3 linked regions of the Drosophila melanogaster genome follow. Changing the gene in region 2 together with the main gene of any one other region gives a genetic interaction. Each region holds a gene or a part of one and is shown on either strand. Other genes may lie near its edges.

Region 1 (3,427 bases), on a different chromosome or scaffold from region 2:
TGAGGTATGCCGTTGAGAGGACTTCTGTTGCCGCGCAAGGACTGTGGCGTAACAGAAAACAAAGCAAAGCTTTCTGGTTTAGAAGTTTTGTGGTTTTCTTTGCTTGCTAGCTGAAATTTCACGACGGTCAACAAAGGAGTGCGCTCCAAAATGTAGCTAGTAATTTTCATTTAATTCTCAGTGTGGGTTTCTTTGGCTGCAACAGTGGCAGGACCAAATTGCCACCGACTTGACCCTCAAAAGGGCACCCATTAAATGTCGCGACTGGTCGCGGTCATGAAGCGCCAGAAATTGGCTCTGTGCGGCGGTAATTAGCCCAGACCAGTTGGCCCTGATCGCGTGTATGGTGGTAGTACTTTAGGACGGGTCAACACTGGTCGTCGGTGACGTGCCATAAACCGCTGGCAACGAATCCGGTGTCAGAGGGCATGCACTTAAATTTACAACCCCTTTTAAACCCAAACCCTCCAATGCCAATGCGCTTTTAGTTTTAATTGCTGCTCAGGCTCTGGCCGATAGTGGCTACAAGGCGCTGAAATGACTTCCTGCATTAATCTCGACAGCAACAATATATCGGGCATACATTAAGTTAAGTTTATATTTTATACGGTAGCACTTAAAGGAGAATGTGTGAGCTAATTCGTAAATAAGAATGTGGTCTTGCAGGTTTCCTACTTGACCTTGTTCACAGGCAGGTACGTGGCACTAGGCGCTGCGGCTGGTGGTGGAATATATCCTGCCGAAGGAGCCTCCAGTTCGGCGCTTACACTTCCGCTGGAAGGCCGACGCTCATCAATCAGCTGCACCTGCTGCTGTTGCTGTTGCTGCTGCTGCTCTTGCTGTTGCTGCACTTTGGTGGCAAAGTCCAGGACTGGTGCCACGCCTCCGTTGTAGGAGGTGCTGGCTCCACCCAGACGCTCGTACTCCTGCTGAATGGTACGCTGGGCATTGATGGCGTCCTGCTGGGTGCGGTACTTGACGAAATGCACCTCCGGCTTGCTGGCGCTCACATGGTTCAGGTTCTGCAGCTGGTTGGCCAGGCTGGACAGATCACCCTGTTTGGTCAGGACATAGATGGCGGTCTGCTGCTCGGCAGCCTGCTTGGCCAAGGCCAGAGCGGCGTTCTCCAGACCCTTATTCTCGGGGGCCCTGATGAAAACCACACGGAGGTTCTTCTTCAGAGTAGCAGCCAGATCACTGACACTCTTATTATCCTCAAAATCGGCCTCGGGAGCGGAGTAGGTGAAGAACTCCTTGTTAAATTCGGTGTTTACAGGAGCGTAGTTAGTGGAATAAGATCCCCCGGACAGGGAACCACTAGAAAGGGAACCACCAGAAATGGAGCCACCTGAGATGGAGCCACCTGAGATGGAGCCACCTGAGATCGAGCCTCCAGAGATGGAGCCTCCAGACAGAGAGCCTCCCGAGATGGATCCGCCTGATCCAATGCCAGCTCCATAGTTATAGCCGCCTACATCAGCGCGAGCCACAGCCAAGACAGCAAAAATCTGGCAAAGAAAGCTCAGGTTAATCCAACTATTTCAAACTAATAATACCATTTAAACTTACAATAAATCCACGCATATTGATAGCCCTATCCTAGCCAATATTCGATCCAATCTGTTAACGTGTTGGGCACGCCGGGAGGTGTAAACTGTTAATGCTACAGCCCATCTTGTCGAGGGGCGTTTTTATAGCCCGACCCTAATCAGGTCCAATATAAGATGCAGATTTTCGTGATGAGACAGCGGGTGTAGCCCATGCCATTGATGCTAATCCAGCACAAATACCAATACCCGTTGCAGGTGACGCAAAGCCCTCAAAACTGTATCCGCCAGCATTTGTTTGCATAAATTCGAAAACGGTTTGCCAATTTCGTTGGCAATGAAATGCAAAAACAAACCACGACGGAACTGGATGTTGGTAGGCCAAACCAGAAATTATGGCCACTTAAGTGGAGCAATGCCATGCGATTTGCATAGCTGGTCGTATTTAATTAATTGCAGTACAGCCATATAGCTGGCGAAAAAAGGAAGAAAATAAATCAATTACAGTGTCCACAGAATTCTGCGAATGATTGGTCAAATTCAATATTAATTAATTCAGTCAATATATCTTTCCGGCAATTGCAAATTGGTAAACCGTGGCAGTGAATACTGGCTATGATGGATCACAAATCAATCGCTAATCGAGCTGCGACTCTCTGCCGACTGTCCACCGTATCTAGTTTATGATACATAATTTCGATTTCGTAAACACACTGACTAGCAACAAAAAACAAAAGGGGCGCAGACAAAAAACCTATTTATGCAAATTAACCCCATATCGCTTGTGGCATTTTTGTGTGGTTTAGGGATTTGTTTTATTGTGTTTTCAATTTGCATATTACTGGGCATTTATGATGGCATTCATAGTGGAATTTGATATGCTTGATTCATTCATCGATTGCCCAATTGAACTTAAGGTTAGAGCCATTCGTTGCATACTTATAGGGCTGCCAGCAGTGGCTGTCAAACTGTTACGCCGGTAATGAACTTAGCCCCAATGTCTGTTGGCCCTGTGGCGCTTGCCATCGAAATGCAATCAAGCTAATTACGGAAATATGCATTTTTCAAGCCAAACATGAACATGCAACTCCGTGATTGACGATAAATGCCCAATTAAGCCAATTACGAGCGGTTGGTAGCTGGCAGTCGCGTGCAACATGTGTGGCAGCCACAGGCTACCAACTGCTTTTGTAATAATTTGATTTAAACTAAATTTATCAAATTGTTTTTCCTAATTGAGTGGATTTAATGATGAGCGATCGTCTGTCGCTCCCTTAATGAACAATTTTCCGTTTGATTTGACCTCTAATTAGTTGGCCAGCTGAGGTGGAAATATTTGTTTGGCAGCAGGACACGCATGCAATTAATATAAATAGTTCCAGGGGCACTTAATGAAGTTTTCGCATTTGCATTGAAATGCAAAACAACTCGTTCCCTGTCGCTCTCACTGGCATTTGGCCCTGTTTTTTGGCCTGAAAGTAAGGAATCGCCGGATCCGGCGGAATGGAATGGGCCTGCTGCCACTTTATAGTGCATAAATTATTCAATGAACCGCATGCCAGGATGAGTCGGCGGCGACAAAAGAAGCTCCGCTGTCAGTTATAATTTCACACGCATAACAGTTGCCGTTGTCAGTTGTGGTGGTGGTGGTAGGAAAGGTAGCTAACGGTGCCAATGGAGTTTCCTGTCGACATACACTGCACAAATTATTTTAATTTGGCTAAAAGCGCAAGCAACAGCTTATGGGAGAAAGCTATAATCTTGTTGGCGAAATTGCTAAAAAAAAACGTCTTCATTGTCTGTATTTTGATTGGCATTGAGAAAACTGTGCGAACTTTTTTGTCAGTGTTCTGTTGCTGGCTAACCCAGTTTTAAACTTG
Region 2 (5,069 bases):
ATCATTCCGCTCTCGACTTTATCGTTCGCCCTGTTTTGACTAACTCATTCGTCACTTGCGTTTCGTTCGCCCATTTCCAGTGGAATGTTCAATGTGCCCCATGTAACGAGCATATATCTGGTGAAGAAAACCGCCTTCGATGCCATCTCCTTCAAGCACAAGGAATTCGATCCCGACATGGCCATGTGCGAGTCACTCCGAAATGCGGTAAGTGTTTGACAGAACATCGTGTTCAATTGGTTACTAATGTGTCCACTCTTCTGTCCAGGGTATCTTCATGTACGCCAGCAATCTGCGCATATTCGGTCACTTGGTCAACGCCGATGACTTCAACACTACGGTGACACGTCCGGACTTTTATACGTTGTTTAGCAACGAGATCGACTGGACGGAGAAGTACATACATCCGAACTACTCACTGCAGCTGAACGAGAGCAACAAGATACAGCAGCCGTGCCCGGATGTCTATTGGTTCCAGATCGTGTCGGACGCGTTCTGCGACGATTTGGTGGCCATCATGGAGGCGCACAACGGTTGGTCGGACGGCAGCAACAACGACAATCGGCTGGAGGGCGGATATGAGGCGGTGCCCACCAGGGATATCCACATGAAGCAGGTGGGCCTGGAGCGGCTCTATCTTAAATTTCTTCAAATGTTCGTTCGTCCGCTGCAGGAGCGCGCCTTTACGGGTTACTTCCACAATGTGAGTCAAAGAATTATCATTTTGAAGATTTTGTTTTAATATTCTCACTAATTTTGTAGCCTCCACGCGCGCTGATGAACTTCATGGTGCGTTATCGGCCGGATGAACAGCCTTCTCTGCGACCCCACCACGACTCCTCCACGTACACCATCAACATTGCGATGAACCGGGCGGGTATTGACTATCAGGGCGGTGGCTGTCGTTTCATTCGTTACAACTGCTCCGTGACCGATACGAAGAAGGGATGGATGCTGATGCACCCGGGTCGACTGACTCACTACCACGAGGGATTGCTAGTGACCAATGGCACGCGTTACATCATGATTTCCTTCATCGATCCGTAGGGTAGCTAATTTAAGTCGTACTCTTTATATCAAACTGCCATATCGGCCACTCCAAAGAACTGCATACTAAGCCCAATGAACAATTTATGTTGATGGAATTGCGGCATCGGCCTTCTATTTCTGATGATTTTACATACTACTTTGAGATCGATAGCTTTAGGATACTCTGATGAATCTGTTGCAGCCTTAAGTTAATTATAAGCTTTTTTACCAAGTGCAAAGTGTTCAATTTTTGAATAAATTAATTCAATTATTAAATGAAATACATTTGGTTTTGTTTTTGTCTGGAGAAATTCTTATCTTTTATAATTTCAAATCAAATATTTAATTTACGTGGTTCAATTTAATTCGCTTTCGAAAGAATATTGTTCTCTAACGTGAAATGCTGAACCAACACAGCTGTTTTGCGAAAGCGGGATAGCACCTTCAACAGTGCTGCCCCCCACGCAACTAACAGCAGCGGTTGTGCAGACTTCTGCTGTTAGCAAACATTTACAGCAGACACTTGACAGAATGCACACCAAAATTTCTCTAGTGAGTTTTAAAATAAATAAATCTATATGAACTTTAAAGTTTTTTAATCAAAGATAAATATATTTCTAAAAAAAAGCAGGATGTGCATACATAACATTTTATTTTGACTAAATAAAGATTTACACGCTGCCATAATTTAAAATTCAACAAAAAACATATTCTATTTTAATGTATATTTTTTTATATTTTAACATATGAGAGGCTAACAGAGTAGCTTGATTACAGAACCCGTAAGAATGTTAGGAAGTCGAACCACTGCGTACTGTTGTTGCATCGAGCACAAGGCTTCGAACTTGCGCGAGTTCGAACGACTCCAAAAGAAAAGTGTATTTAAGCGCTTGGCGAAGCACGCTCTATGTTATTGCTCGATTTTCGTCCGCGTAGCTGGTTGGTTCGTCACAATTTTTTATAAATTAGGAAGAACTAAATAAACTAAGCGGACATTGGCTTAAAGGCCAGCAAACAATATACGGAAATAAACAAGTTTGTTGGGTAAATGCAACTGAAATTGACGAATACTTTCGAGAAATTTAGAAGACTCCAGTGTTTGCAGACTTCGTGTGCGGGTGGTGTGCGGTACATTTACAGTTAGTTGCGCAAAGTGCGTGTTTAAAAATAACAAAAATCGACGCTGGATATAAAAACCGAAATAAGTAGGGAGAGCAATAAATGAGTGGCGAAGAGAAATGCAAATTTATCGAGTCGGTCAATTTAAAAAAGCCGCATCCTGGAAAATTGTGTGCGTGCGTTCGTGTGTGTGTGTGTCTGTGAAATAAACAAAAAAGGCGAAAGTTTACTCGCTCTCTCTCTCTTTCTTACTCTCTGTTGCTCGCTGTGGCGCTCTCTCTTTCTGTCGCAGGACTTGCTTCGATTTTTCTTCCGCCTGCTTTTCCTGTTTCATTTCCCTACATTTTTTTATTACTCTATTTACACTTGGCGAGTCCTGCCTTATGTGTGCACACATGTGTATGTGTGTGCTTTCTCACACCTGATGTTTTTGTTGTTCCTGCTTTCAGCCGCTCCTGTTGGCCAAGTTTTTTTTTGTTGTTGCTTTGGCAACCGTTGGAACAACAACAGCAGCAACAACAACATAAACAACAGGGACACATAAGGGTACTTCCATTTCTGAAAACATTTGCTCTTTTGAAACAAAAAATAAAAAGAAAGAAAAACCCAGCCAGACAGTCTGGAAAATCCATAGAAATACAAACACAATTTTAAGTCGGCACTAAAAACCGAAAGTGGCTGTATCCCCGATTTTGATGAGCAGCCAACGGAGATTTCCGGTATCCAGCCAAATGGCGAGGTGGAGTTCCACGTTCCAGGTGAGTGCGATATAGTGCCACATGCCCACCCCACCCCTTTATAATTTCACCGCACACGGTGAGAAATACCATTTTCTCCACTTTGCAAACATAATCGTATCGAACGCAATTACCAAAAATCATTTGACTTGAAACAGGAAACACTAGCTGGAAAAAATTTTATTTATTATCAGCATTTCAAGCATATTCACTTTCATGATTGATTGCACTTAAACCGTTGCCATTGAACGAGGTCAAAAAATAGTATCTTAAAGGAAAGGTAAAATTTAAAGATACGACAATAACATTTTCAGTTCCAATTAAACTGTTTTCAATGATGAAAAAGTAGTTTGAAAGCATACTAATTTTTAAAAACAAAAAGTGCTTGCAACTTTAAGAAAACGTTTCATGATTGATTGCACTTAAATTTTTGCCATTGAACATGGTCAACAAATAGTATCCTAATGGATAGGTAAAATTGAAAGATACGACAAAAACATTTTCAGTTCAATCGAACTGTTTTTAATCATGAAAAAGTTATTTTAAGCGTACTACTTTTTAAAATTAAAAAGTGTTTGCTACTTTAGGAAAACATTCATTGTTATTTATATTTATTAATATTTAATATTAAACAAATATTTTCATAATTTATAACTACTTATAGCAAAGGCAATAAGAAATATGAATATTGGATAATAATATTAAATTACGGTACTATAATATTAACTTAACTTAACTAAAATATTAAGTTACGGTAGTTAATATAATTCTTTACTGCTCTTCAGTAACTTCGAAGCTGGCTTCACTAAATGTGTCTTCTCACACAATATATTAATTATATATTTGCATATTACCTGAAAACCAAGCCGAGTCTTAGCCTTGAGTTGTCAAAACTGCTCACTATCAATATATTATATGCGGTATACATACGTATTTATTTATTTATTTTTTTTCCGTGGAGTTAAGTTCGCATGTGTGTGCCGATTGCTTGATATTTTCTATTAGCGGGTGCTGGATTTTCCTTGCTCGTCGCCGTGAGCAGCTGCTAATGGGTTGTGAAAAAAGTGGGCGAACGAAGCGGGCTGGAAGGCTGTGGAAAAGTTAGGGAGGTGTGTGTGTGTTTGGGGGAGGGGGGGGGGGGGTGTGGCCAAGCATGTGTGAAACTTCCTCACAGTGGAAAAACATATGGTGGCAAGTTCAGTGCTTAAGGTTCGAGAACGCAAGTTTCCACACTTGATTATATGGCCCATAAATTTGTAGTACATTTAAATAAATGCCATATCTTTGCAGCTTACGTGTTTTGGTATATTATTTTATTACTATTAGGTGAACACAATTAAATTTTAGTTACAAAGTTCTGTTGTTAAGATGTATAATGCTTCTTAAAGATAAAAACCAGTTACATATATACCAGATTAAGCTAGAAGTTTTAGGTTAGGCAAATAAAAATCTAAAGTGTAACACAATTTAAAACTATTATTCCAGTGGATAGTTTTGCATATGTTCCTGATTTTTTGTGTGAAGTTCTTTTTTATTTGTTTGTAGATTTTCGAGATGTTTCCTGCAGGCGAATGCCTCGCAAAAATTTACCAACTGGACCACAAGAAACATGTGGTAATGATAAAGAATTCTTAAGCAGCTTTCTATTTTTGGAATAAACATGTTTAGCGTGTTTGTTAGTTGAACTAGTTAAAGTTTAAACATCAGATTTCCATCAGCTTGGTGACCCAGAACAAGAGTCCGTCGCTTGAAATGTCATTGGCTTCCTATGAAGAGGACTTCTTCAAGGGCTTGGAAGCCCTATATCAAGTCTACATCCCGGCAATCATCATAAAAGAAACCAGCTGAGCTGGCCCGGGGCAGGTGGATGGATAATGGTGCACCTCTCTCTGGAAGGCACATATGCAAATGTTGGCCCAGTGCCCCCCACTTGGAGCTTCACCTCCGTTAAACCCCTCCTCCGCTCCACGACCATGTGCGTGCGTGCGAAATCTGCGAGCAGAGGCAAAATGATTAACAAAGGCTCCCCGAGGTGCGGCAATATGTTGGGGCGGCACCAGCAGTGGGTGGCTATTTGTACTAGACGTGCACTGGCAGAAATTACGTGTGAGAAGATCTTGATCTTTTACGGACATAACTTATTGGGCAAAACTAATTCCGGGTTTCAAATTCCCTTTGCTTCTT
Region 3 (5,911 bases), on a different chromosome or scaffold from region 2:
TGGGAAAATTTGTGGATCCTTTGTGGGCTCGGATTCCTGGGAAGCTGAAGTTTCTTTGCTGTTTTTCATTCGATCAATGCGGGCCGGTCTTTGAGGACAGAACTTTGCCATTGGATTGTGCAACTTTGTCTTAATTTAGACACCAAAATTGCTCGTTAACTTCCTTAACAACTAAGAAAAAGTTAATGTTTTTTGTTTGCTTTTGAAGAATTAATATTCATTTGACATCAGATACTTATTTTTTCTTGGTAAAAAAAAAAATAACGAAGCTATAAATTTTTCAACACCCAATATATTTCCAAATATTATCACCAAATTTGCACTTCAAATTGGATTGATGATGATTTGTCCATTGAATATGTTAGAAATATTTTCATATGGGTTTTTTAAGTAAATATCTAAATAAGTAACTCTTAAAGATCACCGATCCCAATGAATGTATAGCTCTACCCACTTTCACCCTCTTCGATTGCAATGCCCACATGATTCGGCAGCCTTCTTCCCACTTCCCATTCAAATGCTCCGTGAAATCTTCGGATCTGTCCAAATGAGCCATAACTTAGCCCCTGACTAAGTGCCCACCTCGGCGCGATCGAAGTACCAGCATCTGGCCAAAAGGTCACACGCAACAGCGGACTGGAGGAAAGGGGAGCATGCCAATCCTTGAGAGGGTGACACGCGCTGTGGGAAGATCGAGCGATCAGGGTGTGGAAACGGGCTGAAGTGGAAGAAGAAGGTCACAAGCGTGCCACCAAGTCGCTGCCTTACAGGGGTTGCAACCTCGAATGGAACCACCCTCATGAGTCCAATTGGAACCACGACCATCGGAATTCCTCGGCTAGAAGTTAATTGTTCGTCCAACATGTGTGACGATGAAGGTGCATTGTTACGGATAGCGATGACCATGAGGTGGACGCGAAATAGATGGGCTCTCTCAACTTTGGGCGAAATTAATCTGTATCAATGGATTGCCAACAAGAAGCCGCTAAATTGGGATTGTACATACATAAGTGCATATGGAAATATAGTGGATGTTAAAAACCCCCCTTTTTAGGTTTTATCTGTGATACGATCTTTAGAACGATTAGAAAGCAGCATAGTAATTTTCATCTCTTCGCCAAAATTGAATGCTTTAATATGGCTATAACTATTCCCACTAGTTTGATAAACGGTTCTGAAATCGAAAACATTTGAAAAGATAGTATAGTATATATACCAGACATAAACTTAATCCTTCAAATCGTTCAACATTCTTCTTATTTCGGCCCCCAATCTTATAGATACCTTATCTCCATATATCGAATCATAGATCATACCATAGATTATCTTCTGTACCATACATTATTATTAATAGGTATGCGATAGTTTGTAACTGCATGGTAACAGAACACAATCAGTTCATTTATATGATATCTCCTAATATGACTATGCTTTCATGATTCTATATCCTCATTATAAATAAAACATAATTCAATAGTAGGATAACAATAAGATCAGCGTGCCATTAGAGTCCTTAAATCCGCTCTAAGAACTGAGAGCCAGTAGAGATGCAAGTCCCGGTTCCCAGGACCCCATCATCCCGTCGTGCTCTTCCGTTCCCAGAACATCTCGATCTGCTGGTAGCCGTGTGCCCGCGAAGCTGAAGACCAAAAACTGGACCCAGGCAGCTAGACCCAGTCAAAAATAAAAAAACAGAAAAAAGAAGAAAAAATCGCAAAGTAGGGGAGACCACACCCCGCTGAATGGAAAATCGTCGAATCGCTGGGCAAGCGGAAAAGTCACACACGCCAGCATGAAACGCACAGAGCGGCGTTCGCATGCGCCGTCCCGCTCGCACGGCGATAGTGGCGGCCGATGGAGCGATGCGATTGGTCGCTGCCAGCGCTGCTGCTGCGCTGCCGCCTGCGCCGGTATAAAAGGACAATCATCGCCAGTAGCCGAGTCAATTAAGGCCAAAGACTCGAGCGGTGAGCGTGCGGCTCTACTCCCATATATACATATATATATATATATATATTCAACATCCTAACCGATAGAAAAGTAGCAACAGCAGCCCAGTTATGTGCTTGCCAAATGCAATTAACAACTGATTGATTTGGAAACTCAGCAGCGATAATCGAGTTGAAAATCAACCAAATAATACACTAAATGGATTGAAAGTGTCGCAGTGGCAAAAGTGTTGTTAGCTAGTTAGTGTGTCTTGTGTGCTGTTACTGTGCGTTCCAAGGATTAAAGTCGTGGAGGAGAATGGAACACGATAGCTTCGATGATCCCATTTTCGGGGAGTTCGGCGGCGGGCCACTCAATCCACTGGGCGCCAAGCCACTGATGCCCACCACAACGGCCATGCATCCCGTGATGCTGGGCAGTGTCCACGAGTTGTGCAGCCAACAGCAGCAGCAGCAGCAGCAGCAACGATTGCCCGACTGCAACACCATACTGCCGAATGGCGGAGGAGGAGGAGCAGGATCTGGCGGCGCTGGAGGATCGCCCAACTATGTGACCAAGCTGGATTTTGTCAACAAGATGGGCTGCTACTCGCCCAGCCAGAAGTACGAGTACATTAGTGCGCCGCAAAAACTGGTGGAGCAGCAGCAGCAGCAGCAGCATCATCATCAACATCATCAGCACTACACGGCCACGCCCCCGCCCAGCCACAATGGCATCCTGCTGCACAAGCAATCCTCCCAGCAGCAACAGCAGCAGCAGCAACAGCTGGTGGGCATCCTGGACTATCATCCGCTCAATGGCAAGCTGGACTACTCCTCGTCGCCCAAAGATCAGTACGAGCCGCAGCAGCTGCAGCATCTGTACGGCGGCAGTCCGCATCATCTGGACCATTTGGATCATGGCAGTGATGGCTTGCTCCAGGACTCCTCGCCCGTCATGATCAACGGAGGATCCGCTGGTGGCAAGCTAAAGAAGCCCGATGAGATGTGTTCGCAGTTGGAGGCGGGTGGTGCTGGAGTTACTCCGCCAAGTAGTTCCTCCACGGTGGTTAATGGCACCACCAATGGCACTGGCAACGCCAACTCCTCCTCCTCCGCTGGCGTCGGCATTCAGGGGGCGGCGGGCACAGCGGGGGGCGTGGCAGCTCCTGCAGCCAAAAAGGACGGAAGCAGCAGCAAGAAGAAGGGCGATCCCAATGGCATCAAGAAGAAGAAGACGAGGTAAGCGGTCGAAGCTGCTACGCTGTCAATTAATTTAACGACGGGAAATCAATGAAATTATGTGGCACAAGATGATAGCACTTGCTATTTATGACCGTGACCACGGGGCGTATGAGTAATTTGGAGTAAGGACATTGCTAGCAACTCGCACGGAAACCCGTGCAATCTGGGGGGCTAATTATTAAATAATGAGTACCGATAGCAGATAGATAGATCCACAGAACATGGTTATCTCTATAGAATTTTCTAATATTCTAAAATATAGTTTCAGTTTAGAACTTTTTTGTAATATAAATAGATACTATGGGTTTTTTCATTTTTCCCTTTTTTTAATCCCTATTATATGACCAACTAACTGTATGAATCCCATTCAGACTTTCATCTAATCCTCTATACTTTCCATTTTTACCTTCAGAACCACCTTTACTGCCTACCAGCTGGAGGAGTTGGAGCGTGCCTTTGAACGTGCTCCGTATCCGGATGTTTTCGCCCGCGAGGAGCTGGCCATCAAGCTGAATCTGAGCGAATCCCGTGTGCAGGTGTGGTTCCAGAACCGACGGGCCAAGTGGCGCAAGCACGAGCCACCGCGCAAGACGGGCTACATCAAGACGAGCACTCCGCCGACGGCGACACTGAATCCCGGAACCCTAGCCCCACCATTCACTAGCTACCCGCAGACGACGACGGTCACGCCGCCGGGCAGCATGGACAGCTGGACCAGCTACCAGACGCCCTACGAACTGACGCCCCAGTTCAGCCTGCTCTCGCCGGCGGCCAGTCCGTATGGCACCTATTCCGGCCAGTACGGTGCCTATGTGCACGAAAGCCAGCTCTTCCCGATGCGTCACTACGAGTACGGTAGTCCCACGCGCATGGAAATGGGCGCCACAACCGGTTCGGTGGCCGGAAACGGAGATGAGTCGGTGGCCAATGGCGGCAGCTATCAGACGGCGGAACTGCAGACCGCCCAGCAGCAGCAACTGGCCGACGGCACACTGGTCACCGTCCATGCCCACCAACAGCAGCAGCAGCAGCAGCAGCAACTCAATGGCAAGTACCTGAGCGCCGAGGAGGCCAAATACGTGCACCTGCAGTGCCATCAGAGTGGAGGTGGTCTGGAGCTAAGTCCCGGCGCCAGCTGTCATCTGGTGGAGGCGCAGGGCCAGCACTATGTGACCACGGCGACGGGAGGAGCTGCATCCGCGGGCGGCACCAGCAGCGATGACAACGACAGCGGCGGCATGCAGACTGTGATCAAGAGCGAGGAGGTCTCCCAACAGCAGCAGCAGCAGCAGGGACAGAGCTACGTCCTGCCGCCTTTTTTGCACTGAGAGAAATGCTCACACACCGGCGACAGCAACAACACCAGCGACGCTGGGCCACGCCCATCAGCACGCCGAACGCCCGTTTCCGTCGGCCATTTTGAAGGGATGGAGGCGTGGCGTGTGCAGCATTTCCAACTGTGTTTCTCCGACTGAAAGTGGGGCTCCAGAAAAGCGGATTCCCAAAGATAAAGCCTCATAAGTAGTAGAATTCATCATCGGATTACTTAAAACTAGTTGCTTTCAAAAAATTTGGCGAGAGTCCACAAATTTTATATTTAATTTGATAATATTGTTTTTTTAGTTTATATTTCCAATCCCTTGGAGTTTTTCTAGCCAGTCCCACACAGTTTCTAGCCACTGTTTTCATATTGCCATAGGTTCCTTTTAGGTTTAATGACGCAAGTTGCAACAACAACGGAATCCACAAGTCTTGCCAAATCATAATGAGGTTATTATGCCTGTCTAAGTCTAGGTTAATCTAGGGCTAGGGGCTCTGCAACGAGAGCCCCGCCCCCAGAATGCATTCCAAATGTGCCTTACCAAAACGGGTGACGAGTGACCTCCCTCCAAATTGGAAAGCTTCGTTGCCCAACAAACTTAGTTTTAGTTATTCTACTCGTAGACTAAGTTCCATTTGCTGTTTTTGCTGTAGTTAGACAATAAAGTGCTTTTTATATTGTATACTAGCTCATTTGGCTTTACAAATTTTATTACTTACTAATTTTGTAAAATGGCTTGCAAATTTTGTTACAACTACATTCAATTTAGTTTAATTTCTAATTGTAAGCAATTACATAAACTAGGACACTTTGCAAATGTATATAATAGACGTATAAATAAATCGTATTTTGTACCAATAATTGATCAGCTTCCAATTCAAAAAAGGAACAACATAAAAGACTCATAAAAACAAAACTGATGGTTAATACACTTGTTTTCGAAGACAAGTATTAAAAGTAATGCATAGAAAATAATATAGCAGATTCACAACATAATTAATCGCTATGGAGCGACTTCAGATTCTTTGAAAGTAATCAAAATCAATGCCAATCAGAACTGAGCAAGGAATCACAAATGGGATTTCAGGTACAGTACGAAATAAGAAAATACTTTACGGACTCAATAGCAAAGCAAATAGTGCCTATTTTCACATGGACTCAGTTCCCTGCTCCAAAACCGCCTGCCAATCGATGCCTTTGAAGAATGGATGAGCCTGCAATTGGTCGTAGTCCAAACGTAGCTCCGGAGAAAGCTGCAGCAGTTGCTCCAGCAGATCCTTGGCATGATCGGAAATCTCCAACGACTCACTAGGATACTGAACACAACCATAGAGGTCCAGTTGCCCGGGATGCGTGACTTTGTAGGGCTGGAAAGAAAGCAGATTGCTATTATCCAAACATTTTCAATCGAGAACTC

Evidence for each region.
Region 1: of GlcAT-P (region 2) and Tb, changing one suppresses a phenotype caused by changing the other (phenotypic suppression), as found in Drosophila melanogaster (one study listed by BioGRID).
Region 3: of GlcAT-P (region 2) and repo, changing one enhances a phenotype caused by changing the other (phenotypic enhancement), as found in Drosophila melanogaster (one study listed by BioGRID).

The regions. Positions count from the first base shown.
Region 1 is NT_033777.3:26,654,686-26,658,112, reverse strand, and holds Tb (tubby), read right to left. Parts: upstream 1,674-3,427; 5' UTR 1,585-1,673; coding exon 1,570-1,584; intron 1,509-1,569; coding exon 672-1,508; 3' UTR 582-671; downstream 1-581.
Region 2 is NT_037436.4:11,194,404-11,199,472, reverse strand, and holds the start of GlcAT-P (glucuronyltransferase P), read left to right. Parts: upstream 1-1,936; 5' UTR 1,937-2,073; exon of another isoform or gene 2,074-2,234; intron 2,235-2,597; 5' UTR 2,598-2,906; intron 2,907-5,069. Other genes in the region: Plod (procollagen lysyl hydroxylase), read left to right, coding at 81-207, 269-703, 763-1,047. UniProt on the Drosophila melanogaster protein: Involved in the biosynthesis of L2/HNK-1 carbohydrate epitope on both glycolipids and glycoproteins. Enzyme has a broad specificity.
Region 3 is NT_033777.3:18,234,250-18,240,160, forward strand, and holds repo (reversed polarity), read left to right. Parts: upstream 1-1,942; 5' UTR 1,943-2,247; coding exon 2,248-3,170; intron 3,171-3,585; coding exon 3,586-4,501; 3' UTR 4,502-5,353; downstream 5,354-5,911. Other genes in the region: CG7156 (uncharacterized protein), read right to left, coding at 5,643-5,861.